Ovis aries: one gene and its partners. The protein of the gene in region 1 purifies or fractionates together with the protein of each later gene. This does not show direct contact. Links are inferred from orthologs where the notes say so. Each region holds a gene or a part of one and is shown on either strand. Other genes may lie near its edges.

Region 1 (7,234 bases):
AAGTTAACAGTTCAGTGATTTTTTAATACATTGACAGAATTGACCATCACAATTTTTTAACATTTTCAACACCCCCAAAAGAAATGCCATACCTTGTAGCAGTTACTCCTCAGTTTTTCCCAATCCCCCCAACTATAGGCAACCACTAAACCACATTCTGTCTCTGGACTGGCCGACTGGGGGACATGACTATAAACGGGATCATTATGTGGTCCTCGGTGTGCAAACCAGCTCTAGGGTTCTAAAGATCAGGGAAGCAAAAGTCACAGCCTGGGAATGTTTGCCCTGCAGAGACAGTCCCATGGGCAGGGAAGGCTACTGGTGTGCGGGAGTGCACAGGGGCAAGGAAGAGCCGTGGGAGCTGCAGTTCCTTCTAACCCAGATCCTAGAGCTTCCAGGTGGAACATGGTCCTGGGGGCCTGCAGTGGCCACAAGGGTCCTTTATCTCACCTTCCCTGTCAGCCTTAGCTCCAGAAGGCAGTGTCCAGTCAATTCCACAAACAAGGAAAATAGATCCCTGCTTGATGATCTGCTGAAGTTGCAAGCCATCCAGCTTGTGGCAAGATGGGCTTGACTCTCCAGCCTGCCAGGTGAAAGCTCTTCTAACCACATACCCTCCAAGAAGGCCCACCCCTGGAGTCCACTTAATTCCCCCAGCTGAGAGGAGGGTGCTCAGTCACTCACAGCCTGCCATCCTCACCCAAAGGACCCTGGCATGGCGTGATTCAGCCTCGGAGCTGAGGGCTCCTGTCTCCTTTCAGCCAGGAAAGTCCCCACCCTTGGCAGATCCCTGGCAGTTACCACACAGGCCAAGTAATCAAACTCCTGCATTTTATTCTGTGGAAAGCCCCGGCCCTACCTAACCCTGACCCTGTCTCCAGGGCTACCGGAAGGTAGAGAAGCTCTGGGTGCTTGTGCAGGAGGCGTAGGGCACGCCCCGGGAGCGGATCTGCAGGGTGTGGAAGGTGAGGGGTGGGTTGGGGCCCAAGGAGCCTGGGTTCAGGGACTCAGTGTGAGGCTCCATGACAGTCACGGGAACCGCATAAGACAGCCTCTGGGGCCGGTCATCCTGGCGTCTCACCGTGCCCTTGCCCAGCAGGTGCAGGATGCAGGAGAGAACGTCAGCACTGCCGCAGGTGGACCCCCTGCCAAGGCTGCTGACCAGGCCCCTGGGAGGACATGGGCCCTTCTGCCAAGCCTCCAGCACCTGGTGTGGTGGGCCGAAGGGGAAAGAGAGGTCAGGGACACCCAGCTTACCCCAACTCTAGCCCCCAGTCCAAGGACAGCGAGGCCCAACCTCACTTCTCACTCACCTACAGGGTCCACAGTGAGCCCAAGACTTCGCATGGGGATCCACCTCCTCCTGGAGACTGCCCCCCACCCCACAAGGCCCCCACCTCCTGGAGACTGCCCTCCAACTGGCAAAGCCCCCTCACCCACCACCCACCGCCACCTACCAGGCAGACAAGCTGGTCAATGTGCAGCCCCTCATCCCCATGGGCTTTGAGGATTCGGACGATGAGGCAGTTGAGAAGGTTCCGTCTCTTCTCCAAGTTCCGGCCCTCTTCATCCTCAGCTTTCAGGTATGTCTGAGCTGGGATGAGCCACACGTTGCCCCTCCGAGGCCTGGGTTCCTCGCTGCCGTCTCGAATCTTGAGCAACCCTGAAATAAGTGCTGGTCACTTGGCAGGGGTCCCCCGAGGACACTGGCCCCGGCTGAGGACACAGGCCCCAGTGCCCTAAGTACAGACCTGCTGGGGTGTCCTTTGTCTCATCAAGGTCCAGGGGGCCCCTTGACGAAGTCAGAGGCCCAATTGCCTGATTCAGCACATCTGGAGGGAGCCCCGAGTGCGCCAGCAGACTCTCCACAGAGACCGCCTTGGGAAGAAGAGGGAAGCATCAGGGCCTCCCAGGGTGGGGGGCAGGGAAGAGAGAGGGTGGAGAGAAGAAAGAGGATGGACAGGTTGCGAGAACAGGGGGGCGCGGGGGAGCTGGGCCACCTTCAGCTCGTTGAAATGCAGCAGCAGCCACATCTGCACGGTGGACACGTGCAGTGTCTGGTCCCCGAACTGCAGCTCCGCCCGGCCCAGCCATGTCCACTGCAGTCGCCTTTGCGGGGCCTGCTCCAGGGCAGGGTAGCTCTGACCTGAGGAGGGTCAGGGAGGTGGCAGGAGTCGGGGGGCTGGCGAGGACGTGCCATTGCTGGAGTTTTGTCCTCACTAACCTCTGCAGAGCCTGGGGTCCAGTGTGTCTGGACACTGGCTCTTGGTCTGAGCTTCCAGAGCTTGGCCTTCCTTGAGTCTGCCTCCTGGGTCAGCCTCAGGTATCTGGGAGCCCACCCCATGCCAGGCAGCCCGTGATCAGTGCCTCCGAGGGGTTCTCCATTTTTTTAAGGGAGACAAAGTCACGAAGTGAGAAAGGACTGGGGCTCTCTTCAAACTGGAAACACTGTCTTGAAGCTGGTAGAGAAGCTCCCTGAGGGCAAGGTCTCAGTATCACCCACCTCCTTTTCACTGCCTAGGATCAGCCTCCAGTGGGGAGCTGAGGTTATGATGACTGACCAGGAGCCAGACACCCACCACCACCTGTGGACCTCAGGTGCTTTCTGCCTCCATTCTCCCCACCATAATGGGAGTCCCAGGTCATTATTTGAAGAATAGAAACAGCAACAGTCCCGGGATCTGGTGCCGTTTCACCCCACCCCTACTCCAAACCTAAGTTCCAGTCTTTTCTTCTCAAATCTACAGGCTGCCAGGCCCAGGGGCCACCGCCAAGCCCAGGTTCTTTCCCAGCATCCTATCCTCTTCCCAGGTCCCCAGTTCCCTCAGCCCAGCTGCTCACGCTTGTTGTAGAAGTTGGAGTATCGGTTCAAGGTGCCCCTCAGGTAGGCAGGCAGGCAGGTTCTGGGGTTGAGCGTGTGGCAGATGGAGGCGGTGGGCCAGCAGCGTGGAGACAGGACGAGCACAGACACTTCTGGCATTGCCCCTTCATAGTAGAGATCCTCGCTCTCGTCCTCCTCCTCCTCCTCCCCTGCCACGCCGGCTGCTGCTGCTGCCGCCACAGCCCCAGCTTCCAGCTCAGCTTCCTCCCCGGTCCCTCTCTCATGGCCCCTGCCACTGGCGCTGGCGTCACGGCTCACCTGAAGATGGAACACAGGGTGCCCCTAAGCCAGCCGGCTCCTCAGGTCTGTCCCGAGCCTCTCTCTGCCTTCCTCTCTTCTTGCTGGTTTAGTTCCCTCCCCCGCTTCCACCTGTATCTTCTTCTCTGTGTCCTCCAGCTTCAGGAGTTCCTGATCAAGCCGCTGGAGCTGGTATACATGGAACTGGCGTTGCAGCTCCTCTGAAGTGCTCAGGCTCCGCAAGATCTCCTGGGGGAGGCGACTGGGGAAGCAGGGGCCGATCTGCTCCAGCACAGCCCCCTCCAGCCAACTCGAGCCCACGCCCAGGAGACGGTCCGCCATGTAGTGCCTGCAGCATGCACAGCCCAGGCTGAGTCTTGGTGAGGCTGCCTGGCAGGGCCTCCCACTCCAAGACTCCAGCCTACCCAGACCCCAGCCCCCAGACCCCGAGGGCTTGCCTTGCCCATCATCCTGCCTCCTCCCACCTCCCACTTCCTCGGTCCACACTCACTGGTAGTAATGCTCGAAAGTGGTGGCTATCTCCAGACCAGAGAAGATGAGGACGGTTTCCAGGCATCGTTGCAGTTGGGCCAGCATCTCCATTCCCCGGGCCCCACCGATCCGGCTGCCCTGGATCCGCTGGTCGATGTGTCGGGCAAACTGCTCGCTCACCTGGGCAGTGGGGAGAGCACAGGAAAACTGTGAAGGAGGTGAGATCGGGTGTGTTCAGGGTGGTATGATCGTAGTCAGAAACTGAAGGAGAGAATGAAGCTGGTGAGTGGGAGCACAGGGAGGAGGAGCGTCTGAGGAAGGAAATATGAATGGCCAGCAGCTTTATCAACTGGTCAACAATTATAAACAACAATTTATAAAATTCCTAAAATCATTAACAACTGTGTACATTAACAATACTGGGACTTCCCTGATGGTCCAATGGTTAAGACTCTATGCTACTGATGCTGGGGGCCCGGGTTTGTCCCGCGTGCCACAACTAAGACATGACACCCCCAAATAAATTCAGTAAAATAACATTTAAAAAAAATACTAACAATGATAAACATGATTTTCACATTTAGCATGTCTAAAATCCAACAATGATAATTTAACACAAGGAGACAAGCACACAAGGCCACTGAGATAAAGTGAGTCACATAAATTTTCTGATTTGTGAACTTGGAGGGAAGGGTCTTCATCTATCTTCAGCTCTTATCACAGTGCCTGACACATGTTAAAAGTGTTAGTTGGTCAGTCATGTCCCAAGTCTTTGTGACCCCATGGACTGTAGCCCACTAGGTTCCCCCTGTCCGTGGGATTCGGCAGGCAGTAATACTGGAGTGGGTTAAGCACTTGGAATAATAGGAACGGTGGAGGAAATTACAGTACATCCATTTGATGGGCTCTATGCAAAAATTTGAGGACAAATAGCAACATGAAAATGACTTTTAATGTAAGGGTCAAAAAAAACAGGATAAAGCATTTAGCTACTTGTGGGTAAAACTAAGTGAAATCAAGCATGCAAGTAGAAGAAGGTATGCAAAGATATATTAGAATGGCACAAAGCAGGTCATTTTTTACTTTTATCTTTGTGTGTGTGTGTGTGTGTGAGATCTTAGTTCCTTGCCCAGGGATTGAATTTGGGCCCACAGCAGTGAAAGTACAGGGTCCTAACCACTGGGCCACCAGGGAATTCCCTTTTTTTTTTTTTCCAGATTTTTGATAACATGGGTCTATAGCAATACATGCTTCTTGCTGAGTGGGAATGTAGGGGGTGGGCAACTCTGAGGAGGGGAAGAGAGAGTTTGAGGAGAGAGGTCCCAGGGCAGGGGACACAGGAGGCTTACGTGGGCAGCTCTGAGGAAAGGCAGCTTCAGCAGGGCACCAGCACAGCCATTCTGCAGCGCCAGCAAAAAGGCTGCCCGTGGCCCAAACAGCTCGGAGCTCGCCTTCTGCAGATTACTGAAGTGTTCGCAGTAGCGGGGCACAAAGTCATCATCCCGCCAGCGTGAGGTCAGAAAGCTGTGCACCTGGAGGGTGGGAGTTGGCAGCGTGAAGGCAACCCAGCACGCCGGGGGCACAGCCCCGCCCGCCCACCCGCCCGGCTGGCCGGCCCACCCGCCCGGCTGGCCGGCCCACCTGCTGCTCCACCACCGCCCGCCAGCAGCGGGTCAGGTTTCTCATGATGCTGCTGGGAAGCCCCCGGGTGGCCAGGGAGCTCCAGTCATGGCTTCTGTTTCTGCCCTCTGTGGACACAGCGGGAGGGGCAGAGGAAGGGTAGGGGCAGCTCCTCAGCTCCTGGGTCCCCCATCCAGGGCTGAGCTCAGGGGGTCTTTCTGGACATGCTGCCCACTGAAATGATGCTCCCCGGTGGGGGTGACACAAACCAGGAGGCGAGCAGCAGGCTGAGCGTGCAGGGAGGGGACAGTGAGGAAGGAGACGCCCCCCAGCCAGCTCCCGGCACTCACTGGGCCGAGGCGTGGCCGCCTGCAGGGAGGGGACAGTGAGGAAGGAGATGCCCCCCCAGCCAGCTCCTGGCACTCACTGGGCCGAGGCGAGGCCGCCACCGCGGGGGGCGCTTCACAGGGCTCCACGTGCACCAGCAGGTGGGTGAGACGGCGCACCCGGGAGGAGAACGCTGCTGCGCGGCTCTGCGGGTTGTGGGCAGCCTCCCGACACTCCAGGTACTGGTCCAACAGCCAGCCCAGGGGGCTGACGCCTTCTTCATCTGGAGGCGGGGGAAGAACAAGCTAAGGCAGGGCGAGTGTGCAGAGGCTGCTGGGGAGGCTGGCCTGGATGGGCGTGCAGAGGAGAGCAATGGACTGCCACAGGAGGGGAGGGAGCAAGGCCCCTCCTGACTGTGTGGGGTCAGCTGACACCCGGGACACATGGAAAGGAGGCGCCCCTGGGCTGTGAGAAGCCGAGGGCGTGGGGAGGCTGAATGAGTGCGGGTGCCAAATGGGCCAAAGGCGTCACCCAGGAAAGAGCAAGCAGGGACTGGAGAGTGGGACTGAGCACCGGGATGGTGAATGGGCCGGGGCAGGGGCGGTTACCAGGGCAGGTGATGTTCTGCACCAGGGGGCTGACCAAGGCCTCCCAGCAGGTCTTGCCCAGTGCCTGGGCGGCCTCTTCGTCAGGGAGGAAGTGACTGGCAAAGTTCTGCTCGTGGCGTAGGGCACCGTTGAGTCTGGGGAGGGGAGGGGGTGGGAAGGTGTTGGGGGCTGCAAGCCCAAGTCTGCCAGCCTGAAACTGCAGGCTACCCCTCAGGCACACAGGCGCACACGTGCTCGCACACCTGGAGCTCAGGTGCAGGAGCCCCCTGCGGTCCTCCGCGATGTCCTGGCTCCAAGCCTGTGCCCGGACCATGTAGAAGAGGCGCGTGTGGCGGCACAGCTGCTCCCGGAACACCGGCCAGAAGGTGGGCTTGGGGCCCAGGACCTCCAACCCCCGAATGCGCGTGTCAATGCCGCCCTGCAACGCACACAGGCCCGTTTCCACCGGCCCCACACACTCCTCAGGATGGGCTGGAGTGCTGGTCCAAGAACTGCAAGTCACAGGGTGCAGAGCGTGGGGCCCACGCCCCCCACCCCATGTCCCCCAGCCCCACCTGCTGGCAGCGCTTTATGCGGATCTGGATGACGGGCCAGACGCAGCTCAGGTTCTCCAGGAGGACCACCCGGCTGGCGGAGGGCATCACATTCACCTGGCGGGGTGGGGGGCAAGCAGAGAGCACGGTCACCGCCCGGTGTGTGGATGGGAGTGCTGAAGGCACCCTAGTCTGCTTCTGTGCCCTGCTGTCCCTCCTTCCCCCAGCCCTGGGGTGCATGGGGTCCTGACGGAGGGGGTCCCAATGCTATCCTCACTGCCCGGGGCCTGATGCCATCACAGGGGCACACGGACAGACTTCACCTTCTATGGGGCTCAAGATGGAGGAACACGGGCCTTTAGGGATCTGGGCAGGAGGGCGGATCCCATGAGGGGTGGCCAAACGGCACAAGGGGCCCTACCGAGTTGAGTTCCGTGTTAAGGGAGGTGGCGCTGTCGCCCCCGAACACCACCACCCTGGCCGGCATGTAGCTCAAGTCCTCGCTAGCCACCAGCAGAGCCAGCTGCCTGGGAGGG
Region 2 (7,639 bases), on another chromosome or scaffold:
AGCAGGCTATCTTGAACTAGACCAGGTGCAGATCCCAGTGGGCCCTCCCGTTTTTCCAGGCACAGCCTGATCGGAGCAGAGTGGTATAGCCCAACACCTGGAATGCGGCTGTTGTCCGCGCCAGCTCACTGCTTCTGTGCCTGCACCCTGCCGTCTCACTGTGCCACAGCCAAGGACAGGTGGCCCTGGCCACTCAGAAGAGGGCACCCCCTCTGGACGTCTGAGGTGGCACCTGCCGCACTTGGTGCTGCTGTGGCCCGTTAGTGGTGACCCAAAGCCTAGAGTCAGAGCACAAGGCAGGCAGCTCACCTGCCATCCGTGGGATCGACACTAACTAGATTTGGGTCGTCCTCCCCACCCATCAGTCCGCCTTAGCGCTACCAGCCCTGGACTCACCGACCAGTGCGACGGCTGGACCGCTGCTCCCCGAGCATGAAGGTGCCAAGGCCAAGGGATTTGCTGTCGCAAGAGTAGCCCATGACACGGAGGGCGAGGCCAGATCCCAAGGCTCCAGATAACAGTGAGGAAAGACAGAGGGATCTGGGTCTGAAGACATCAACAGCACATTAGCCAATCCTGGAACCGCCCAGCTTCCAGATTCCTTCATACATTCTTTCATTATTTACTGCCAAACAGAACAGAACAGAACAGAACAGAACAACCCCAAACAAACACCCGGCCCTGGGCTCCAGTCTGTGGCGGTGGGAGTCCCTCCCCGACCTGCACCCCTAGTGTGGGAGCCAGTGGTGGCCGAGCAGGACAGATTAGGCCCCAGGGCCAGACGCTCTGCGTCCGGTCCCCCTAACTCTGGACTCTGCTGGTTTAGTTTTTACACCCACGAAAGGAATGTTTCCACTAACAGACACCTCCAGGCTCCTCTGGCCAGAAGCTGAGACCAGCATCGATCAAGGGGACCACTCATGTGTTCAGGCAAATGGGATGGGTGAGGAAAGAAGGCAGGAGGCCTACCCTGGGCGGCTGGACCCTGACTGTCAGGGGGACAAACTTGCCACTTGAACACCCATAAGGAGGATGGAAGGAACTCGGGGATTCCTTGGGCGTGTCCTCACACGGCTGATCCCATGGCTCAAGGTGGGGCCGCGGGCTTCCCTATAGTCTGGATCCACCAGGGCCCGGAGCACTCTGGAGCAAAGGTTCCGGTTACCTGACCAGGCCTGTACCTTCACTTCTGGGGTGCTGGCTCTGGGCAGAGGTCCAGGGAGTGGGTAGGAGAGGAGGATGCTGTGGGTTTGTGGCTCATTGCTTCAGTGAGACTGGCGCTCCCCTGTGTGTGTCTGGAGCACGTTGATAACCAGCATTTCCTGTCTTCCTTTACCAGCTACGGTCCCCGACGGCGGTGAAGGCCATGGTCAACAGTGTGGTTTAAACAAAGTGGTAGATTTTTATGATGTCAAAGGACCACCATAGAGGTGCCCAAGATGGTGGGCCTGGACCCTGGGAGGGAGCTGGGGCTAGGGGCGCCTTCTGGGAAAGGGTGAAGCTGCATGGGGGCAGGGGCAGGCTTCGTGTGTCCCTGCTCTTGTTTTCGCAGGGCTAGAGGGGAAGAGGCGTGTGTAGTGGGGACAGCTGCCGTCCTGGCTGCCCAGCTTCTGGATCTCCCTCCCGTTGGGTGAGTCCAGTGCTGCCTCCCTTCTCAAGGCCAGAACAGTCCAGGTGCTTGTTCTCTCAGACCCTGGCCAGGGGGAAGGGCACGTGGCCTGGGCCTGGCCAACCAGATGCTTCCACTGGGGCCTGGTGCCTGGAGCGTGTGTATCACAAAGAAGCGGGGACAGTTTAGAATTCTTGCCCCGCTTGCAGCAGGGGCAGCCTCCAGCGCCCAGAACCTGGTGGTGGCATTCTAACACAATGTCCCTGTGGGACCCCAGGTCCGGTTCCCTTGCCTTGCCCTAGATTCCGTGGGTCCTCCGGTCTCCTTTCCGTATACCCTTCTGCCTGACCCTCCACATTGTGGGTGTCCTTTATTTGTGCTCAAGCACCCCATTGGTGGCCTTCTACGTTCTTTGCAAATTTCCACTTCTACAAACAATGCTGGGACGAGAATCTCTGCCCCCTTCCCTGTACACAAGTGGGAAGATTGATGGGGCCAAGATTCCGATCACCTACTGATCCTTCTCCCTGGAACACACACACCCTCCTGCCATTTCCCCCACGCCTGCTGCCTCGCACGCTTCATTTCTCCACTGAGATCCACTAAAGTAGCTCCAGCCCGTGCCTCCCACCTTCCTTCCTCTGGTTTCCATCACCCATTATTCCCGCTGGTCCTCACCCCAAGTGTTTGCTTACTTGTAATGGCCTGTCTCACCTACAAGACCACAGCAGCTTCACGGGGAAGGGACCACACTGGCTCATTACTGGATCCCAGGGCCTAGCGCATCATCCTCTGTCTCAACACCCTATGGACTCATCAGCCCATTCTGCGTGAACAAGAGAACTTGGGGGAACCACAGTACAATTTTAATGATCTCAGATAAGGGACAGCAGAGGGTGGAGAAAGTGAAAGGCCAGGTAGGAAACCCAACAGCTCCTGGCTCACATCTCATTGCTTCCCAACAAATTAGCTGTGCAGTTGAAGTGGGAGTTCTCAGCTTGTGAGTGCACTAGTTGAAGGAAGGAAGGAAGTGTTAGATGCTCAGTTGTGTCCAACTCTTTGCAACAAGTTGTCTCTGACTCTGAGACTCCGTGGACTGTAGCCTGCCAGGCTCCTCTGTCCATGGGATTCTCCAGGCAAGAATACTGGAGTGGGTTGCTATTCCCTTCTCCAGGGGATCCTCCCAACACAGGGGTTGAACCCAGGTCTCCTACATTGTGGGCAGATTCTTTACCATCTGAGCCACCAGGGAAGTCTGCAGTAGCTGAAGTCTTCCAGTAATTTCCGTAAGCTCAGAGAGATCAAGGGAAGCAGGGGGGCCACCTGGTGGCCGGTGGTTGGAGGTGGCTGCAGAGAGGATGTGGAGGGGAGGAAGGTGCCCAGCCTCTGGGCTCCTGCCCACCCCGACCTCCAGCCTCGAGTCTAGTCCATGCCCGTGGAGTTGGTCAGGTAGAAGGGACGGATGACGACTTGGAACCTGCTGAAGAGCCCTGCCGGGCAGGGGAAGAGGGAAGTGCTCCTGGAGCTGTTGGTACCCAGGGCACTGGGGATCAGGGCCTTCCAGCCCTTGAAGTCGATGACGTCTGCCACAAAGCTCCCCTCACAGTGCAGCAGGGCCCGGTTTTCATAGCCAATGGTGGGACTGGAGTAGCTGGACTTGGAGAGAGCCAGGAGTGGGGGGTCATCGGAGGAGCACGAGAACCCGTAGTTCCAGCAGCTCTGGAGGGTGGGGAGGTAGACTAAAGACCAGGAGACGGAACTGGCCTGGAAGAGGAAGCTGGGGTGCTGGGGCGTCTGGAAGGACCGGTAGGGGTTGTAACTGGAGCTCATCACAGACTCGCTCCAGGTGGGCGAGGTATAAAGCCGGGGCTGGTAGGCGTCCTCGGTGAGGTTCAGGCCCCAGTACTGAGCCAGCAGCTCGAAGGGCACGGTGTGGAACTCCAGGGCCTGTAGTATCTTCTTCTGGAGGAGCGCCTCGTGACTCCAGTACAGGGACAGGTTAAACTGCAGCGAGAAGAGGTCCCGGGGTGGCATCATGGGGAACCGCACCTTCTCCACCAAGCCCTCCACTTCCTTGTGGGAGGTGCTCCTCTCCCGGCTCCACTCGTCCACAGCCCGCAGCAGGACCAGCTCGCTGGGCACCACTAGTTCGGTCCTGGAGAGCAGGTCTTGGAGCAGGCCCGGGGGGACGCTCAGCCAGGCCTCGGCCTGCGTCAGGGCCCCGAAGTTCCAGGCCAGGAACTGCACGCAGATCTCCTCCAGCACGGGGTCCCGGGTGGCCAGGGCGTAGGCGTAGAGCTCCAGGGGTGTCCGGAAAGAGGGGTCCTGGGGGATGAGGATGGCAAAGAGGTGCCCGCAGTAGCTCTGCAGCTGCTCGGCCTGGTAGGCAGAGGCGAGCTTGTGCAAACACTTCACTGACGACAGAGACACATCGATCCTCCGGGAGTAGAGGTACCTGAGGGGAGACGAGGGCTGACGCCTGGCTACACCCCTTCTCCCGAAGGACGACAGGTGTGCCCCGGTGCAGGTGTCTGGCTGACTGCTGATCCCCGGGGTGCCAGCTATTTCAGGGGGCATTTGGAGCCCCCTGACTTATCTCCTGAGTCAACCCCCATTCCAAGCTATGTGGGCCGAGAGCCAAGTGCATAGGCAGCTGGGCGGACCCCAGACACCCTGAGGATGTTGCTTCGTCCTCACTGATGGGGACGGTCCCGCCACCTCCTCCATCATCACCGTCATCTTCATGGGCTGGGCCCCGACACCAGGACCCGCTGGCCATCCGGGGCTCTGCCCTTCCCTCTCCCCTGTCACACCCCTGGGCAGAACTCTTGATTTCCCCACTGGGTGCCCATGGGTGCCCCTCTGCCCCAGCACCTGTCTGGTGCCCCCATGACATGGGCATCATCATGGGTCACCTCCTGTCTGCCATCCCTGCCAGCTGTGAGCCCTGTGGGTGGCACCCAGTCTATGCCACCCACCGTGTAACTCAGTGTGCCACCAGGAGGCACTTTGCTCATGAAGACACGTGTGGAGGGAGCCTGCTGGGAGGGGAAACGCCAGGCAATGGCCCCTGCCGTCTCCTGGGAGATGGTGAATGGGGCCCTGCTTTGGAAAGAACCAAACTCTGTCCACCACTTCTCTCGAATGACGAGCCTTCCAGGGAGCCTCAGACTTGCTGGCTTCCCCATCACTTGAACACGGAGCCTCGGGTGCCCAGAAAGGAGCCGGGACCCCACAGAGTCCAGTGGCAGCAGCAAGGGTGGGCCGGTCCTCGTCCCACCTGCCGCTCTGCCCTGATGTGCTCAGTACATCCTGTGATTCTGTTGCTGAATGTGAACTCGAGAACCAAAATGGTCATCTGCACCACGTGGGGGCTGCCGGGCAGAGGGAAGGGGAGTGGGGGGTGGTGTAGGCAGTGAACCAGGGTCTCCAGAGACCCTCTAGGGCCTGGGTGGGGCTCATTGCTGCCTCTCTGCCTTAGAGGAGGGAGAGAGACAGAGAGAGAGGGAGGGAGCGAGAGACACAAAGATACAGGGCAACAGGAAGATAGAGATGGAGTGAGAGGCAGAAGGAGACAGGAAGGCAGAGAGAGACAGAGAGAGCAAGCTGGAGCACATGGCTAGACAGTCCAGAGAACCGCTGACTCTGACCGAGGGCGGTGACTGCCGAGAGGCTGGGACCAGGCACAGACGCATCACAGACCTCAGCCCTGCTGGGAGGGGCGCAGGACAGCGGCCAAGCTCTCATCCTCGGCTGAAAAGACGCCATTTAATCTTTTTAAACTGCCATTTGCTGTTTCCTCTTAAATGTCACTTTCGGCTAGCTACAACTTTGGGTCATGAGAGGGAACAGCTTTTCATACACTTGGTTCTCTCTTTAAGTTGATGCTCCCAGAACGCCAGTCCCTGGAAAGCCCGCCCGATGTGGTGACATAGAGACCCCCCAGCAGGATGGTCTGCAGGGGAAGGGGCCTCGGGGGCCACTCTCAACTGGGAGATGGGCTCCCAGCGTGGATGGCCCGCTGGTTAGACTGCCGCCTGGACGGTGCCACCTGGGAATTTTCTCCCCACTTTCTTCCGGCAGCAGACTTGGATTCCTGTTTCTTTAAAAAAAACTTTTGCAGGAGCAGATCAGTGAGGTGAAAAGAGGAAGAATGACTTTGATAGTTTTTTTGGGTGCTTATGACACCCGAGAGACAGGTGTGGTGTGCGTGTGTGTGTGTGTGTGTACGTGTGAGGGCTGACCCATTTCTCACAGTCCCTGTGGAAAGAATACATAAGAATGTGTGTGCAAAGGTGAGGACGTGTGGCTGTGAAAGTGAGTGTGCACACGTGTGGGTGTGTGAGCATGTGTGCGCACAAGTGAGAGAGCACGTATGTGGTTGCCCTCGCGTGTGTTCAGGTGAGCACAGCTGCGGTTGGTGTCGCGTCCCTCGTCCCTGGGGTTTTCCTTTGGCAGGGACGCTGCCCGGTCCCTGGGCCCGGCCCCGAGGCCACTCACCTGATGAAGTCCTTAACGGTGGGCACACACTCAGCATCCACCTCCATGGTGACCCTACTGCCCGGCTCCTTCCACAGGCCATGGGCCTCGGGGTTGGTGGACAGGATCAGCTTGTGGGCGCAGATGGCCAGCTCGTCCTCCTCACGCACCTTCACCCTGATGAACAGGTCACAGCCCTTCTGGCTCTCAAAGATCTGCTCTAGAGCCGCGGGGAGCTCGCCGGATAGGTCGAGGGTGTAGACACCTCTGGTTTCTATGGAGGGGGATGCATGTTAGGAGGGGCCCCGGCACTCGCTTCCTCTGTGACCCGAAAACACAGAGTTTTGCTCCCCGGAGTCAGATTCTTCCCTTAAACTGTGGATCCTGCCTTATCAGCTCAGAAAGGCTTCTGGGGAGATGAGGAAAGAACAGCCCTGGAACACAGGGTGCCGTCGCCCCCCGTGGCCCAGAGCCCCACCCCGTCAAACACCCCTATGTTGTAGCTCACCTGCCCCCCCAACATTCAGATGGCACATCTTGGGGGGATCTGGAGGGGCTGACTTCCAGAACTTGGGGTCCTATCCCAATCAGTCAGTCAATCAATCACCCAGATGTGACTGTCTAAAACCTGAACCTCCTGCCTCGTCTGGTCTGAAGAGTGTCCCACGGCAATGTGGTTTAGAGCTCTGGGGTCCTTGGCAGCCTCCTACAAGGGACTGAGGCCTAGAGAAGCTCCTGGAAGTTCCCAGCCTGGTTTGGAGGTGATGCACCCCCTTTCCCAGCAGAAACAGAAGGCTGCCGATTCAAGGGGTGAGCCTGCAGTGTGCAGACGTGGGGTGCACAGGCACCTCGCTTCGCTGTGCGTTGCCATGTTTCTCAGAAACTGAAGGGTGCGACAGTGTCTTGCTATTTTTCTTCTGATGACATTTGCTCACTTTGCGTCTCTGCGTCATGGTTTGGCAATTCTCAGTGATATTCGATGTTACTATTGCAAAAGGATTATGACTTGCTGAAGGCTCGGAGGGTAGTTAGCAATTTTCAGCACTCAAGTACTGGGTTCTTTTGGCTGTAACTCATGGCATGCAGGATCCTAGTTCCCTGACCGGGACTTCCCTGCTGGTACTGAGATTATGACTCCACACTTCCAGCGCAGAGGACATGGGTTCAATTCCCTGTGCCCGGTGACAACTGCTTCCTGTCTCAGGGGGATTCTTTACTGTGGTAGGAACTGCGGGCTTTCCTGTCCCTCCTGGAGAGTGGGCATCACCTGCGAACCTTCGCGTAGGGAGGCATATGATTCACGTGGAGCCGGGGAGCCGGCCTGACCACCGTCCCTGGGATCCAGGCCTCGGGCCTCTGGGGCCCAGGATGGGGCTCACCGTTGGTGCAGATTACGCTGGCGTCCTCATCGTGTCTGCAGTTGCTCCGCATCCAGCCCAGGGATGAGCAGTTGGCCAGCGAGGGCTCTGTCCCCGTGCACCTCACCTCGTCCAGCATGATAGGGCCGTGTCCTGGAAGCACAGCAAGGATGACAGAGCCTGGAGGGGGAGC
Region 3 (7,639 bases), on another chromosome or scaffold:
GAAGGAAAAAGTTTAAACCACCTAACCGCCTGAAGACTCAAGGAATGTGGGTGCTGGACAGTTTACAGAGCAGAGACAGGTGAGTCTACGGTCTTTAAATAACCATGGGTTTCTCTCATGTGATAGCCAACAAGCAGAGAAAGGGCACACAGCAGTGTGTGTTACAGTTCTTTCCACCCTTATGGAGGTCTAACAGGGCTGTAGAGCCCACTGCACTGATTCCGGGTAAAGCCTGTGAATCTAGATGAGGTCACTCATCATCAAAATAGAGTGCCACAAAATAATTTAAATGAGGGTCAGGACCAGACAGAGCCTTGTTTATTCCCTCTAGCCTCATTTTGTTTGTGACCTTTTGCAAAGCCTGTTGAAAGATGCTAAGGAACAGCGAGGAGAATGGGATGCACTGCCATCCACCACTTTCCAAGAAACATCTTCTACAGAGGGCAACAGTTATCAAATGATGAAGGCTCAGACCCTTCTGACCCAGCAAGTCTTTACTTTGAGGAACTAAGCCTATAAATACGTTCACATGGATCAAGTGTTGTTCACAACAGCCAAAGACTGGGAGCAAGCTAACATCCATCAACAGGGGGTAAGGTAGCCTAATTATTTAAGGGACAACTACAAAGTGCAACATCATTAAATCTCACACACACACACACACTACCAGGAAGTTCTTTATTATGTTACAAGAAATGATGAAATGATCTCCAAGACATTTTGCTGCAAGAAAAAGCAAGATGCAGGACAAAAATAGTGTGTTTTACCATTTATATTTTTTAGAAAGAAGGGATGGAGGACATGCATGAATCATCTGCTTACATACGCATAAGATGTACTCTGCAGGGATGTACAAGACACTGACAACACGGTCTCAGCTCCAGGAAGAGAACCTGGGTGGCAGGTCAGAAGGAGTGGGAGGAGTCATCCCACTGTGCACCCTCCCTTTCGCATCTTTTGATTTCTGAATCAGGTGAATGCATTACCGAGTCAAAAAGTACTTTTTCAAGGGTGTTTAAAGATCTGCTCTTTTAAGAAAGAATGAAAATAGATAATAGCCATTTTTCCATGACTTTACCTGGCCAAAGGAAAAGGTGGTAAACCCAGGCATGGCCTCTAGTTTTGGCCTCTGAAATCCAGAAATCTGAGGATCCCTATGCCACGGACAAACCAAGATGCGGCTGACCACTAGCGTTTTCTCTGGTCTTCCTACCAGAGCTGGACATGGCTGACCCAGCTGTAATCACATGTGTTTCCTTAGATTAAATAAATCATTTCTCCTAAGTCACTTGGCTTCATTTCCTTATAAAACTATGTTTACTAGCTTAGTAACCTACGTACCAGACTACTGAGACCTGTGCACAATGCTGTTTTAATTTTCCAAAGCTGAAACATGACTGGTGTCCTGTAACTCTCTGTGATGAATATGTGACAGGTTGGCTAGTAGGCATGTGAATGGATGAGTCTGAACCATTATTACTATGCTCAGACAGCTGTAGTACCTAGAGAATGTTAATGTGATCATCAGATGGTACAAGGATATTCTCCAAGTAAACAAAAATAACACTACTGGAATACTCCTACAGGTCAGGGAAACTTCAGTTCCCGCCAAAAAATTGACATCAACATTTGGACTTCACATCTGCATTTATCACAGTCAATCAATAGTGGGCTCTAGCTGACCCCCAGTTCTGTATCTGGTACAAACGAAGACACACCGAACTCTGTGTTCCCATAACGCCTTCATCTGAATCCTAGACATATGGCCAGAGGTAGACACAAATCCCCACATGGACGCAGCTGCAGGCTCGCTCTACTGCTAACAGTCTCACACTAACCTGATAAAAAGTGCTGTTCATGTGCTGCCAGGCCAGAGACCAACAGGACCAAAGTGTGGAACTCACAAGCAAGGTGACTAGGAGGCCACACAGAAGACTTTGAGAATTACAATAGTGCGTCATGCAATGGCAGGATGCTACTGAAACCTCACAGAGCCACTGTGACATGGCTTAATTCACATGGCAATGCTGATTTTTCTGAAGAAGCAGAAAACCCATTAAGCATAATCAGATGGAAAGTCCCGCCTCTGCAAAAACAAGGAAAGATTCACAGCAAAGGCTTGGCTTTCCTCACGTTTGAGTGGGTGGCATTCATGTTGGAGAAACATCTTAATGCAGAGTTCTCACCAGCGCTACTAACAGCCCACCCACCCAAGGGTATCAAAGTTTGCTGGTGTACTCACAAAACCTCTGGGTAACTAAATGCCACTGCAAGATTTCAGAGAGGTGCTTAAACACATTCTTGTAGCAAATTTACTTTCACTCTTAAAACACCAATGGAAAACACCTACTAACAAGTGACAGACGTTATTTTCTTAGCACCAAAATCGCTGCGGAGGGTTGACTGCAGCCACGAAATCAAAAGACACTTGCTCCTTAGAAGAAAAGCTATGACAAACCCAGACAGCCTATTAAAAAGGAGAGATATCACTTTGCCGACAAAGGTCCATCTAGTCAAGGCTATGGTTTTTCCAAGAGTCACGAATGAATGTGAGAGTTGGATCATAGATAAGGCTGAGCACTGAAGAATTGATGCTTTCCAACTGTGGTGCTACAGAAGACTCTTGAGAGTTGCTTGGACTGCAAGGAGATCAAAGCAGTCAATCCTAAAGGAAATCAACCCTGAATATTCACTGGAAGGGCTGATGCTGAAGCTGAAGCTCCACCTCGGGCACATGATGAGAAAAGACGACTCACCGGTTAAGACCCTGATGCTGGGAAAAACTGAGGGCAAGAGGAGAAGGGGATGGCCAAGGATGAGATGGCTGGATGGCATCACTGACTCAATGGACATGAGTTTGAGTAAGCGCCAGGAGAGAGTGAAGGACAGAGAAGTCTGGTGTGCTGCAGTCCATGGGGTCATAAAGAGCCAGACATGTCTTGGTAAGTGAACAACAGCAAGTTATTAGAGGGAACAGGAACTTTTTAAAATGAATTTTTATCAAATTAACATACAAATCAGCTAATTCTCATAATTAATGCTTTTTAATTGGGTTGGAAAATTTGAGAGCCATCCAAAAAAGCGCCTATTTAGACCAATATCTAAAGGGTGCTCCAAGTCTAATTTTGTGCTGAGCTATTTCTTTAACCAGGGGCTTGGCTTCCCAGATGGCAGTGGTAAAGAATCTGCCTGCCAATGCAGGAGACAAAGGTTCAATCCCTGGGTCAGGAAGATCCCCCGAAAGGAGGATATGGCAACCCACTCCAATATTCTTGCCTGGAAAATTCCATGGGCAGAGAAGTCTGGCAGGCTACAGTCCATGGGGTCACAAAGAGCTGGACACGACTGAGCAACTGAGCACACACACATCCCTTTAACTGGTTTCTCAAATATATCTGTTTCTCAAATACATCCAACTACGACTGTATCACTATAGAAAGAGATCCACTCAGATAAGTCAAAGAGAAATAGGACCTGTCAGCTGAAATATTTACTAAAACTATGAAAGATTTAAACCAGGCTAGTATTAATTCAGGTATCACCTCACTACACTGAGAACCTGAGAAATAAGAGAGATAATTGAAACCTGAAAGCATGATGGATGAAAAATTAAGAAGCAAATAGTCTCTCTTCTTTCAATAAATGAGCTTGAGCTTGCCAGGGATGGGAAAAGAGTGTTTTCAAAGGCTGACAAAGGAAACTGCCTTAGGAAACCAACTGCTGTCCCTTTTTCCCCACTTTCCAGGAGGATAAAACACAGGAATTATATCATCACAGACTCTCCAGCTAAGATACGCTAAACAGGCTCCAGCAAAGCAGGCCAGCTTGAGCACAAAGGGATCCCTTTTTACAGTGAGATTACAATGAGTCTCATGTATTTTCAACCACTTTATCTGTCTTCCTGGTTGAAGAACATATAATAGGAATCCAAGTCACAAAACCAGTAAACGCCTAGAGAAGTGAGATGTGACCTTCCAGGAGATTACACAGGAGAGACAAAATGTACAAACCACAACCAGAGGCTCGGCTCAGACTATGAGTGCGAAAAAGAACAGGAAGCACTCAGAGACTGTTAATTCTCTGATGCCAGGCACTATGGGTAAAGCTTTACACACGTTGTTTCTTTAATCTTAGAATTCTACGAGGTCAGTACTGTGATGGGACTCCTTTTTACAAATGAGGAAACTAAGGCACAATGCAGGTTAAGCTACCCGTTTAAGGTCACAGTGGGGAGCGGGTGGCAGGGTTAGAACTGGAACACAGACAGCCTGTATCCAGTCTAGCTCTCTCCCAGTTCAGGACACTGCTACGTGGAAAGGGCTCTTTCCACAGGAAAAGGACGATATCAGAGGAGCTGCTGGCTCGGAGAAGTTCCTTCCCAGGGATTATACCCACTGCCAGCAGGGTGAGGAGCCAGCAAACTGGAGGAAAATCAAAACAACACAAACCTTTATCCATAACTCTCCCCGCTGATCCCATTGGAAGAGAGAGTTCTGTAAGTCAGTTTTAAGACTAAATACTTGGCCTACAGTCAGGATAGTAAAATACTAAGTAGTGCTAAAATCGAGTCATCATGCAAAGAATTTCAATTAGAAACCTGTCTCCTTGTTTCTGGCTCAGAGAGTATCAAGAGGCACTTTACACACTGCAGAAAAGGATGTAAATTTCGAGGCAACCTCATCAGAAGGCACTTTGGCAATGTCCATCAACCTTCTGACCAAGCGGCATAAATGCTAGGAATTCATCCCGGGGATTGACAAGTTGCAGTGTGCACTGGAGCACTGTCTGTTAACAGTCCACAGAGAGAGAAAGCAACCTCAGTGCCCAGCGATGAGGAGACTGGTGAAGCAGACTGTCGTAGGCAGTGCTGGAATCCCAGGGAGAGGGAGCTGACACGGAATGCTCTCCAGGGTACGCTACTGAATAAAACCTTGGGCACAGAACAGTAGTTACACTACGACCTCATTTCAAAGATACACTCTTTTAGTGTATAAACGTACCCACCTATGCATTAAAATTTTCTAGATGGATATCTAAAAACTGTTAATAGTTTCTTCTATGGAGTAGGGCTGGGGGAAGGGAAGAGAAAGGAAATTACTTGCCACTTTATATCATTTTGAGCTACCTGAAATCTTTTTTAACCAGGCTGATTATATATATACACACACACACATATATATATATCAATATATACTGCCTGAACACATCTTTTAAAAATATATCAGAGATTTAATTTTCAAATTGCCTCTTCAAATATAACATTCATGTGTTTTTGTTAAATCGTACATCTTTCTATTTTTGTACCTTGTTTCCTTCGTACACCCATCCCAGACTCTTCACACCGAAAGCAGCCTGGTTGGCGGAGACGTCCAGACACGTGACCGGCTGCCCGTAGACGTAATGGAGGGTTCTGGCAGAGTCTTCAGCTTTTAGCAGGTATACAAGATCTCCAGCGGTGGCCACTGCCACCGGGTACCTTTCAGTGTCCGGAACTATTTCAAGGTAGTCAACCTGTTAAAGGATAAGGGTTGGTTAGTCCTTCAGGTTTCACCTACAATTCGTCCTGACTTGGTCACAAATGAACAATTCCTCCTGCATGTCAATGAGAAGATCAGCAACCCAACAGAAAAAGACAGGTCAAGGGATGGTTCACAGGAAGTGAAACACAGTTCCTACACAAATGAAATGATGCTCATCATAAAAGAAACACAGCATACTCCTAATAAGAGAAATGCAAAGTGAAAATTCACAAGGTTATTTGCTGCAGCCCTATTTGGTCACAGCTAAGAACCAGAAAACCCAGAACATGCCTCACTAAGGGACTAATTAAACAATCTACAGTACACCGATGTCCTGGAATACCATGCAGTCACAGAAAAAACCACTGACATTCTCTATAAACTCTTACAAACAGATCACTGCTAAGACAAACTTGGGGGGGAAAGCAAGGAAGCAAAGGAAGAGGACTTTACAGTGTGGCAAGGTGTGTAAAAGTGGCAGAGGAAGCCTGGGACACACTTGGCTTGTATGTGCGTAAATCTAACAGTGGCCACCTTCACGGAGAGAAATGAGTTGTGGGACAGAGCAGAAGGGAGATTCTTACTATAAACCAGATTGTATCTTTTAAATTCTGAACCACGAGGCTATAATAACTATTCAAAAACCAGAGTTAATTTTTATTTCTTCATAAAAAGACTGAATAAATGACAAAATTCACTCAGTTCCAAATTAGCCAAAATTGTATTGTCACGCTTGGGCAAATACCACAAACGTGTTGCTGAAAGTGTCTGAGTTACCTGCTTCCTCCCGGTTTCAACCTCGTCCAAGGTCGGAAGGCCACAGGGAGCACGAAACACCACACAGTCCTGCCGGCCGTGCTACTGCTGCCGCTTTCTCTAGTCGGCACGCACTGGAGGGGCTCCCTTTAAGAATAATTTGCTTTTCTAGATTCAGAAGGGGCATGCTTGCCCCAGGGCCATTTATATCAGGTTTTCACCTCCCTGAATAAATTCTGAGAGGACAAAAGCAGAAGGTGAGCCACCTCTGTAATTATGAAAATCCACAGTCCCTGACAAGAAGCCAAGCAAGTTCAAAGGCCTGAATCCTGAGACCCGTCCAGAAGCGCTTGAGAGGTAAACATCTGGGTAACTCTGCTAATCCTCAGGCCCGACGGTGTGAGTGGTGGCCCACATCCCCAGCCCAGCGCCCATCACAAAGGACAGCTGTTCTGGGCCGGCATTACCGACCCGGGAACACTGCCACTGTGACTCAGGCAGCCTATCTGAGGAAGACAAAGATGGCGCAGCCCCCAGCCTGGAGGTGCCTTTTCCAGGGATGGCCCTCATCCAGGGTGAGAAACAATGGACAGTGTTATGACACATGCCTCCAGCAGTGGCCGCTCGAGTCCCCTGTCCCCCATCCTAAACGTCACTTTTTGCTTTCCTAAAATCAACATCCTCAGTCTAGCTGTTAAATTTCACCTTCATGTTGGATTTCTGGCAGATCAAGAGCTCAGACTGACTGTGACTGTGCCATTTGCTGGGAACTGGACACGACTTCACAAAGCTTCTGGTTGGTGCCAGCATGCCGCCTGAGTGCCAAGGTTGGATTTGCACTTTCTGGAGGGACTCACATCTTAAGTGTCTGAGTTCATATAATCATTGTTAATCTACAGAGTTCTTTAGGCAGAGGCCAAATAACAAGCACTACGTGGTTTTGAGAAGAAACAAAAATATGGTACTTTTGCATTTCTCTAATAAAACCCCAAGAGGAGAATACAGCACCAGGCATTTTGGGGAATGCTACCCCCAAACCAGACAGGCTTGTCATTAACAGGACAAGCAGCTTACAGAGGTAAGGTGGTGACACCATGGCTTTTTAGTTATTCATGTCTAACAAGATTCCCACTGGGAGGAAAAGGGAAAGGAGGCGGATTTGTTCCAGGTCCGGCCATCAATTTATTATTCAGTGTTGGCTTTTCTGTTCACTCTCCTACAAGTGCCAAAACCAAGTTCACTTTAAACTAAACCCAAATTCAACATAAACAGGTTTCAGCTCTTCCTTCTTACCATCACATGGTCTCCCACCACACAAATGTAGAGGCTCAGGCACAACTGAACTCAGAAACAGGCTCCATGTA
Region 4 (8,171 bases), on another chromosome or scaffold:
TAGGAGTTCCTGATTTAAGGAGTTAATTACCTCAACCTGCAGGAACAGCAAACTCCTCAGAACTGATGAATATCTACAGCTGTTTCCCATGGACAGCCCTGTCTCAGAGCACCCTTCTATCCCACATGACACATGGTGTGGTCTACAGCAGTGGTACTCAAACTTCTGGGCATCAGTGGTCCTTAATAATCTTAGTTTTTGCTTATGCAGATTGTATCTGTTGATAGTTACCATACTGGGATTAAAGGTGAGAAAAATTTCAAGCACTCATGAACTCATTTAATAGTAATATATACATTACACGTTAACATATTTTTAAATGAAAACTTCAGTGTGAATTACGGAATTGTTTTATATTTTCACAAAGCTCATTATAATTTCTGGCTTAATACTATTCAGCTGGATTGAACGTAGAAGTATTTTTCAGTAGGAATAAATTCATGAAGGATCACTTCTCTCAACACCTAGTTGGTTACCCTCAAGGATCATCCTGGGTGATCTGCCTGAAATACGTTTCAGCTTATCTATATTCTTCACATTGTAGTACTTAGAATAAAAGATAATCTCCTCAGGCGTGTAATTAGATCCATGTTGAAGAGACCTGCAAATTACTATTATCATTATTAACTAAACTTTACTGTTGTATTATTTTCTAAAGCCAAGTATAGTCATTCTGCTCCACAGGAAAACAGATCTCAAATTCATCTGATTTCTCCACTCCCAAATGATCTTTATCCCTAACACCTTAACACTTTTGAAACTTAAATTCTGTTACTTTAAATTCAAGTTTTATTTGCACTTAGAAAATCTGAATTTCTCACCCTAGCCTACTGGTACTGTTTGAATGCAACCCTGCCTCTAACTTATTCCTACACTCCTTTCTTCCTTTGCTCAGAATGCTTCACATGACCTTGGATATCTCTTTCTTTTTTTCTTGTCACATATATTGGTGCTTCTAGCTGGAAGTCTCTCCTCACTACTCTGTCTGGTAAGTGCCTACCTAGCCTTCCAGTCAGTCTAATTATTACTTTCTCAGAGAAGCTTTTCCCTGAACACATACCACCCTTCCTGCCAACCTCTTTTGTTTTTAGTTCCATCACAGCCTTTTCATTTGCAATTATGTATTTATTTGTGATAATTTAATTGATATTTCTCTGTTCTACTAGACAGGAACTGTGTCTATACTGTTCAAAATCATATCCTCAGGGCCTCTGAAACTGAAAAACTCCCAAAAGAGAACACAGGCAGAACAGCCTTTGACATAAATCTTAGCAATTTTTTAAAATGTCTTCCAAGATGAAGGGAAAGAGCAAATATAAACAAACAGGAAGGACCTAATTATACTTAAAAACTTTTGCAAACAAAAGGAAACCATCAACAAAATGAAAAGACAATCTACTGATGGGGAGAAAATATTTGCAAATGATATGAATAATTAGAGGTTAATATCCAAAATATATAAACAGTTCACACAACTCAATATCAAAAAAAAAACAATCCAATTAAAAACTGGGCAGAAGAAACAGGACACTTTCCCAAGGATGTAGAGATGGCCAACAGGCACATGAGAAAATGCTCAACATCGCGAATCAGCAGAGAAATGCAAATCAAAGCTACAAAATGAGATATCACCTCACATCTGTCAAAAAGGCTATCATTTAAGTCTACAAATAACAAATGTTGAGGAGGATGTGGAGAAAAGGGAATCCTCCTGTTTGTGGGGATGTAAATTGGTGCACCCACTACGGAAAACAGTATAGAGGTTCCCTAAAACACTAAAAACTACCATATGATCCAGCAATTTCACTCCTGGGTATATATGTGAAGAAAATTACAACACTAGTTTGAAAAGACACATGCATCTCAATGTTCATAGGAGCATAATTTATAATTGCCAAGATACAGAAGCAATATAAGTGTCCATCAACAGACAAATGGATAAAGATGATGTGGTTTACACATGCCATGGAATACTACTCAGCCATAAAAAAGAATGAAATTCTGCAATCTGCGACAACATGGATGTCCCTAGAGGATATTATGCTTTGTGAAGTAACTCAGAGAAAGACAATTATTCTGACATCACTTATATAGAGGACAAACCAGTGGTTACCAGTGGGGAAACAGCAGGGGGAGGGGCAAGAGTGGGGTATGGGATTAAGAGATACAAACTATGTATACAATAAATAAGCAATAAGGAAGTATTGTATAACACAGGGAAATTTAGTTATTATTTTGTAATAACTTAGAATATAATCTATAAAAATATTTAATCTCTATATTGTACATCTGAAACTAATATAAATCAACTAGAGTTCAATTAAAATAAAAAAAAAATCTTATCCACAGGGACTAACACAGATCTAGCATATTTAACATTCAGTAAATAATTCTTGAATGAGTAAATTAAAACCAATACTTCATAAAATCATAACTTATAGATATATGCAGTTACATCATCCTCAAGGATGACATCTATTCTAAGAACCTTTTGTGCTAGGAGATAAACGTTGCCTTTTTAGAAGATGCCCATTGAATAGTATAGAACAACTTTTTGCTGAAAATATGGACATGATGTAAACAAAGAAAAACAACAAAAAGTTTCTTGGAGTCTGGTATATAGAACAAAAAAGGAAAGTATCTGAAGAGATGAAAAAAAGGTTCCTAGCTAATTCAGGACATTTTTCTACAGATAGTCATACATTCACCAGCAATCTAAAAGTGTCAACTTGGTTTTCTTAAGGTATGGAAGAGTAGGGGAAATAACAGTCTATTTGGGTTTACAGTACTTCTCAAATCTTCCCCTTCTCTCTAAATAATTTTACCTGAGGTAGCACCTATTACACTTTTTACAAATGGTTCAATTAGTATGAGATTAACAGATAAGTGAAAGCAGCTCTCTATGTAGTTCTCATACCTTTGAGAAGTATCTTCTTGGTTCAAGGCACTTGTCTGCTTAGTACCTACCATTAAAAGAAACAAAAAACAGTAGGTCAAGTGTACACAAACACCAGGTTACAGGACAGATTCTTGCCCCAGTAAACTGTAGACCATCTTTTCTTCTCCACACATTTCACTTCCAACTCTGTGTGAAAATCAAATGAAATGAGAAGGGAATCCAATTTGGTTTTGCAAGCTAATTATTTTTGTTGTTTAAAATGTACCTCTTTCAGACTGAATTTTCTCATTATCCTAGTCGCATAATTAAGCACTCCCGAAAGCCTGCGATCTAGGGGCAACCTCTCTCCGTCCCCCTCAATGTTAGCTCTCCGGTCCTCAAGAGATCCAGGGCACCACAGGGGCAGTCCACCTGCAAGGACGGCCAGTGCTAGGGTGAAGGCCAGCAGCACTCGGCCTTCCAACGCCCTCCTGGTCACCTGCCCACTCAGACGACCCCGATTGTAGGCTCTCCAGGACCTCTGCTGCCCTTTCCCTTAGAGCCTGGAGCACAGCCAGCCCATTTGGGGGGAAATCTTGGAAGACTAGCGTCAAGAGTTGGGGATTCGGACGAAGGTCTTTCCCAGAAGGCGAGAGTTCGGCGGTAGAAAGCTCTTGGCCTTCTTGCCCCCGAGGATCTCCTTCCCTGGGGCAGCCTTTCGGGAGCGCCCGCATGCCTCCGTCTGGAATTCTGTCGGGGCCGAATTCTCAGTTCCAAACTTGGGAAGAGGCCCTTCCTCCTACCTGGGACATCTCGGGAGGCGCGGGGACGCCGGGCTTTGCGGCCCGCAGAGCACGGTCCGACCCAGTCGGCCATGGCATGCGTCGTCAGTGTCGGAACCGACCTTGGCGTCTTTCCCCCCCAAGACTCCGCCTCCCGTCGCGCAGCGCGGGGCGGGGCCGGCTGGGAGGGGAGGGGCCCGGAAAGCAGCGCGGCGGCGGTGGCGGCGGCGGAGGAGAGCCGCGAGACGGGCGAGAGGCCTGGCGGTAGGTGGATACACGCGGGGTCCCTGGCGGCCGGGGCCCGCGGTGGGAGGTGAGCCGTGGAGGACCCGGCTTCGGGGTCGAGGCCTCCGTGAGGTCTGGGGCCCAATGGCCGACGCAGGCAGGAACCGGGAGAAATGGCTTCCCTTGGATGCAGCCTGCACGCGCGCTGGGGTTTTATTCGCTGCTGTGAGGATCCGGCGGAACCCCGTCTCTACTACTGGGCCTGCGAACCGGGCGGTGTTGCCCTGAGGGCGGCCTGTTGCCTGTCTTCGCGCGATACAGTGATTTCACTATCACAATTGATTATATGGGGCGGGGCGCAGTACATCTGTTACAGACAGATGCCCGGGTCTGTAATGCTTGTTACTCTTGGGGTGGAAGGCATCCCAACTTTCATCCCCTCCAGTGTTACATTCCAATTTCTGTCAAATGGGACATTAAAAAAAAAAAAGAAAAGAAAAAGGCTCCCTGATAATTAGAATTGATTTCAGGCCCACCTTTGGGGCGCAGGGGTGGAGGAGGAGGGTGAAGACTGTCTTTTAAAAGATCTTAGGGTAAATTTGTGCTACCTCTTGGGAATGAACTAAAGACTTTCTTTCCCCTTCAATTTATCTTTCAAAATTATGCTCCAAAAAAACTTAAAGGACGAAAAAGAGGTTTTTGTTCTTCTGTTTTTTGTTTTAATTTCTTAGGCTAACGTTTCAGTAAAAAAAAGTTTCAGCTTTAAAAACTTTCCATTTTCTTTATTGTATTTATTAATAATTCATAAGAATGAAGTAACTTATACTGAAGTAACATGATGAAGTAACTTACTATTGATAGTTAACAGGGTATTTATATGATAAATTTCAGCATCAAAACTGGAAAAAATAAGGAATGGCTGTGGAGGAACTACAGTCCATCATAAAGAGATGTGTAAGTAATTTTTTGTTTTTATTTTTAATGACATTTAATGACCTTTCAGAATATGGGAAGAGCACAGATTATTTTTAGTTACCTGCAGTCACTCAAATTGTTAATCTTCTTTAATCCTTGCTTTTTTTGACCTATGAATAAATAGCATGAAGGCAGGAAGACAGATTGGATATGTCACTTAGGGAAATAATCTTTACACTTTTAATACGGATCCTTATCATAGATTTCTTTGGCACAGTGGATTTCAAGGCGATTTATTGAAGTATTTTTTTACCTAATCCTAATTTTCATACATACGATTATGTGCAGCTTATCTAGAATTTAAACAGATTTCTTTTTTTAGAGAAAAATCAAATAGTTATTGAATTTCCATTTGCCTAAACATACTTGTTTTTTTGTTTGTTTCTGCCAGCAAATCCTAGAAGAGCAAGACTTTAAAGAGGAAGATTTTGGCCTGTTTCAGTTGGCAGGCCAAAGATGTATAGATGAAGGGCACATAGATCAGCTATTAGAAATTATTCAGAATGAAAAGAATAAGGTAAGTACAATCTTTCTGAGTACTTTTTCAGTCTTTACTAGTAAGAGAATAGGCACATGATACTATCATTCATCCATTCAGTTTTTTCAGCAAACATTTAAGAATCAACTTAAATATCCACTATAGAAAACTGTGGAAAATAAAAAGGAAATAAGATCAGTTATATACTTTAAGGTGCTTACAGTCTAGTGGAAGATATAAACATGTAAAGAACTAGCAATAAAGAGGCAGAATAAACAGATGGTGTGTATCTATTAAATCATTTAGCTTCTCCAGAATAAGTGTTACAGTTGAAATATAAGTAAAATGTAAATAATATTTTGGGAGAGCTTGATGACCTTATTGGCCAATATAATCCATCATCCGGCTATAATTGTCTCAGAAATCATTCTGCACAATGGGAAAGGATCTTCTTGGGATCAGGAACAGGAGTTTATTAACACCACCTAATTTTGTCTTTGGACTCATCCCAGTCCCACACTTCCTATATAAGACATCATCTTGTTTCAAGGAACATACTTTCTAGTCCTATTTATTTATACAGTTTTTGTAGGGACTTCCTGGCAGTCCAGTGGTTAAGACTGGGTGCTTCCTCTGCAGGGGGCACAGGTTCCATCCCTGGTCAGGGAACAAAAATCTGGCATGCCATGTGGCTCTACCAAAAAAAATTTTTTTCTTTGTTATAACATTCTAGTCATTCTGGCCTAGGATTACATACAGGGCACTTTGATTGTATTTAGATTACTAAAATCTTTTAATCACACATTGTTATAGAATCTATTACTAATTCAAAGGGCTTATCTCTTTTTATTTATAATTTTTTTAGTAAATATTAGAATGTTTTATTTAGTACATTTGTTTTTGATATGTATTCGTAATACCACTGTAGCCCCAGATAAAATAATGCTTTCTTTAACTCCTTGGTTTTTCCCAATTGCATTCTCAGAGGAGAACCTTTGAGAGTATCTTACTTTTAGCTAATCATAATAAAATCAATAAAAGTTAATAATATTTATTGTGTATCTACTATGTGCCAGATGTTCTTAGGTGCTTTACATCTTTTAACTCACCAACCTAGATAGCATATTGAAAAGCAGAGACATTACTCTGCCAACAAAGGGCCATCTAGTCAAGGCTATCGTTTTCCAGTGGTCATGTATGGATGTGAGAGTTGGACTGTGAAGAAGGCTGAGTGCCAAAGAATTGATGCTTTTGAACTATGGTGTTGGAGAAGACTCTTGAGAGTCCCTTGGACTGCAAGGAAATCCAAAAAGTCCATTCTGAAGGAGATCAGCCCTGGGATTTCTTTGGAGGGAATGATGCTGAAGCTGAAACTCCAGTACTTTGGCCACCTCCTGTGAACAGTTGACTCACTGGAAAAGACGGTGATGCTGGGAGGAACTGGGGGCAGGAGAAGAAGGGGCCAACAGAGGATGAGATGGCTGGATGGCATCACTGACTCGATGGACATGAGTCTGAGTGAAGAGCTCCGGGAGTTGGTGATGGACAGGGAGGCCTGGCGTGCTGCGATTTATGGGGTCGCAAAGAGTCAGACATGACTGAGCAACTGAACTGAACTGAGTCTCTCCTGAATCCTCTGATAGGATTTTCTAGATAAGGAAAGTGTCACTGAAAAATTAGTGACTTGCCCCAAGTTACTTAGCTTTTACGTGACATTTGACATTTAGATCTGTACAGCCTGGTGTCAGAGCTCTTAACTATTTTCGTCAACCTCCATAGCACTGTGTAGCACTTGCAGGAAGTTTTAGAGTAGAATAGAGAGGACTGATTGTGAGATTGAGACAGGTGACATGATGATGGGGTTTCTAGCCTCTGAGGAGATAATATATACTGAACAGAAATAGGCAATTTAAGAAGGGGAGAAAGTTCCTTTGATGGAGGACAAGGAAGTTGGCATTGTTCACCAATGTTGAGTTTAAGATGCAACAGGTAATTGAAAAGTAATGTTTAGAGCTCAGTAGAGAAATAGGAGATTAAGATGTAGATTTGTGTCTGACTGTTAGAGATTAGGTGATTGTGATAGACTCGAGCATAGTGAGGCTTAACCTTAATAGCTTGAGAATCACCTTGGTAAAGTGTGGTTGTTTATTTTTTGGCTGAGCCGGGTCTTGGTTACAGCATGTAGAATCTTTTTTTTTTTTTTTTTAGTGTGGCATGTGGGATCTAGTTCCCTGACCAGAGATCAAACCTGGGCTCCCTCCAGCCTGCATTGGGAGTGCAGAGCCTTAGCCCCTGGACCGCCAGGGAAGTCCCATGTGTGGTTTTCTCAATTCAAAGGTTCAGATATCGATAAGACAGAGTTTAAAAGTACACCTTAGATTTCTTTTCTAAGAAAGGTGACAGTCAAGATTGATCAAGACTATTAATCCACTTTGTGCAAAAAAAAAAAGTGTTTTTTAAAGTCATAGGAATGAAAAAAAAAAGTAAATAAAGTCATAGGAATGGTAGTTTGTCCTAAGATGCTATAGTGCAGGGATTTCCAACATTAGTACTATTGATATTTTGTAGCAGTTGTCACCCCAGTAATGACAACCAAAATGTCTCCAGGCATTACCAAATGTCCCCTGATTGGGAACAAAAGCACCCCCATTGAAGCCACTAATACAGTGGGAAAACTGTGGGCTTTGGAGTGGGACAGCCTTATATGCAAATCCTAACTCTGCCACATTTTAGCAGACGTTAGGCATCTCAGTAATCTCTAAACTTTGGCATTCTCATCTGTCGGTTGGGAATAATTATTATTACCTGGTACAGTTGTTTATATTAAACTAAA

Evidence for each region.
Region 2: the proteins of CUL7 (region 1) and LGALS3BP purify together in Homo sapiens (affinity purification with mass spectrometry; 3 studies listed by BioGRID and IntAct, with this or other methods). This does not show direct contact. The link is inferred for Ovis aries from reciprocal best matches to the Homo sapiens genes CUL7 and LGALS3BP.
Region 3: the proteins of CUL7 (region 1) and FBXW8 purify together in Homo sapiens (affinity purification with western blotting; 12 studies listed by BioGRID and IntAct, with this or other methods). This does not show direct contact. The link is inferred for Ovis aries from reciprocal best matches to the Homo sapiens genes CUL7 and FBXW8.
Region 4: the proteins of CUL7 (region 1) and GLMN purify together in Homo sapiens (affinity purification with mass spectrometry; 4 studies listed by BioGRID and IntAct, counting the BioPlex papers as one, with this or other methods). This does not show direct contact. The link is inferred for Ovis aries from reciprocal best matches to the Homo sapiens genes CUL7 and GLMN.

Annotation. Positions count from the first base shown.
Region 1 is NC_056073.1:16,662,584-16,669,817, forward strand, and holds part of CUL7 (cullin-7), read right to left. Parts: intron 7,226-7,234; coding exon 7,120-7,225; intron 6,816-7,119; coding exon 6,720-6,815; intron 6,584-6,719; coding exon 6,408-6,583; intron 6,300-6,407; coding exon 6,166-6,299; intron 5,841-6,165; coding exon 5,658-5,840; intron 5,359-5,657; coding exon 5,252-5,358; intron 5,143-5,251; coding exon 4,960-5,142; intron 3,791-4,959; coding exon 3,630-3,790; intron 3,468-3,629; coding exon 3,251-3,467; intron 3,140-3,250; coding exon 2,842-3,139; intron 2,147-2,841; coding exon 2,001-2,146; intron 1,879-2,000; coding exon 1,752-1,878; intron 1,664-1,751; coding exon 1,458-1,663; intron 1,208-1,457; coding exon 884-1,207; 3' UTR 1-883. UniProt on the Homo sapiens protein: Core component of the 3M and Cul7-RING(FBXW8) complexes, which mediate the ubiquitination and subsequent proteasomal degradation of target proteins. Core component of the 3M complex, a complex required to regulate microtubule dynamics and genome integrity.
Region 2 is NC_056064.1:52,760,875-52,768,513, reverse strand, and holds the end of LGALS3BP (galectin-3-binding protein), read right to left. Parts: intron 7,600-7,639; coding exon 7,468-7,599; intron 6,363-7,467; coding exon 6,110-6,362; intron 4,065-6,109; coding exon 3,032-4,064; 3' UTR 2,454-3,031; downstream 1-2,453. Other genes in the region: TIMP2 (metalloproteinase inhibitor 2), read right to left, coding at 397-556.
Region 3 is NC_056070.1:58,085,463-58,093,101, forward strand, and holds part of FBXW8 (F-box/WD repeat-containing protein 8), read right to left. Parts: intron 5,512-7,639; coding exon 5,305-5,511; intron 1-5,304. UniProt on the Homo sapiens protein: Substrate-recognition component of the Cul7-RING(FBXW8) ubiquitin ligase complex, which mediates the ubiquitination and subsequent proteasomal degradation of target proteins.
Region 4 is NC_056054.1:69,547,317-69,555,487, reverse strand, and holds the start of GLMN (glomulin), read left to right. Parts: upstream 1-3,886; 5' UTR 3,887-3,973; intron 3,974-4,776; 5' UTR 4,777-4,800; coding exon 4,801-4,839; intron 4,840-5,251; coding exon 5,252-5,377; intron 5,378-8,171. Other genes in the region: putative RNA polymerase II subunit B1 CTD phosphatase RPAP2, read right to left, coding at 2,918-2,963, 3,682-3,754.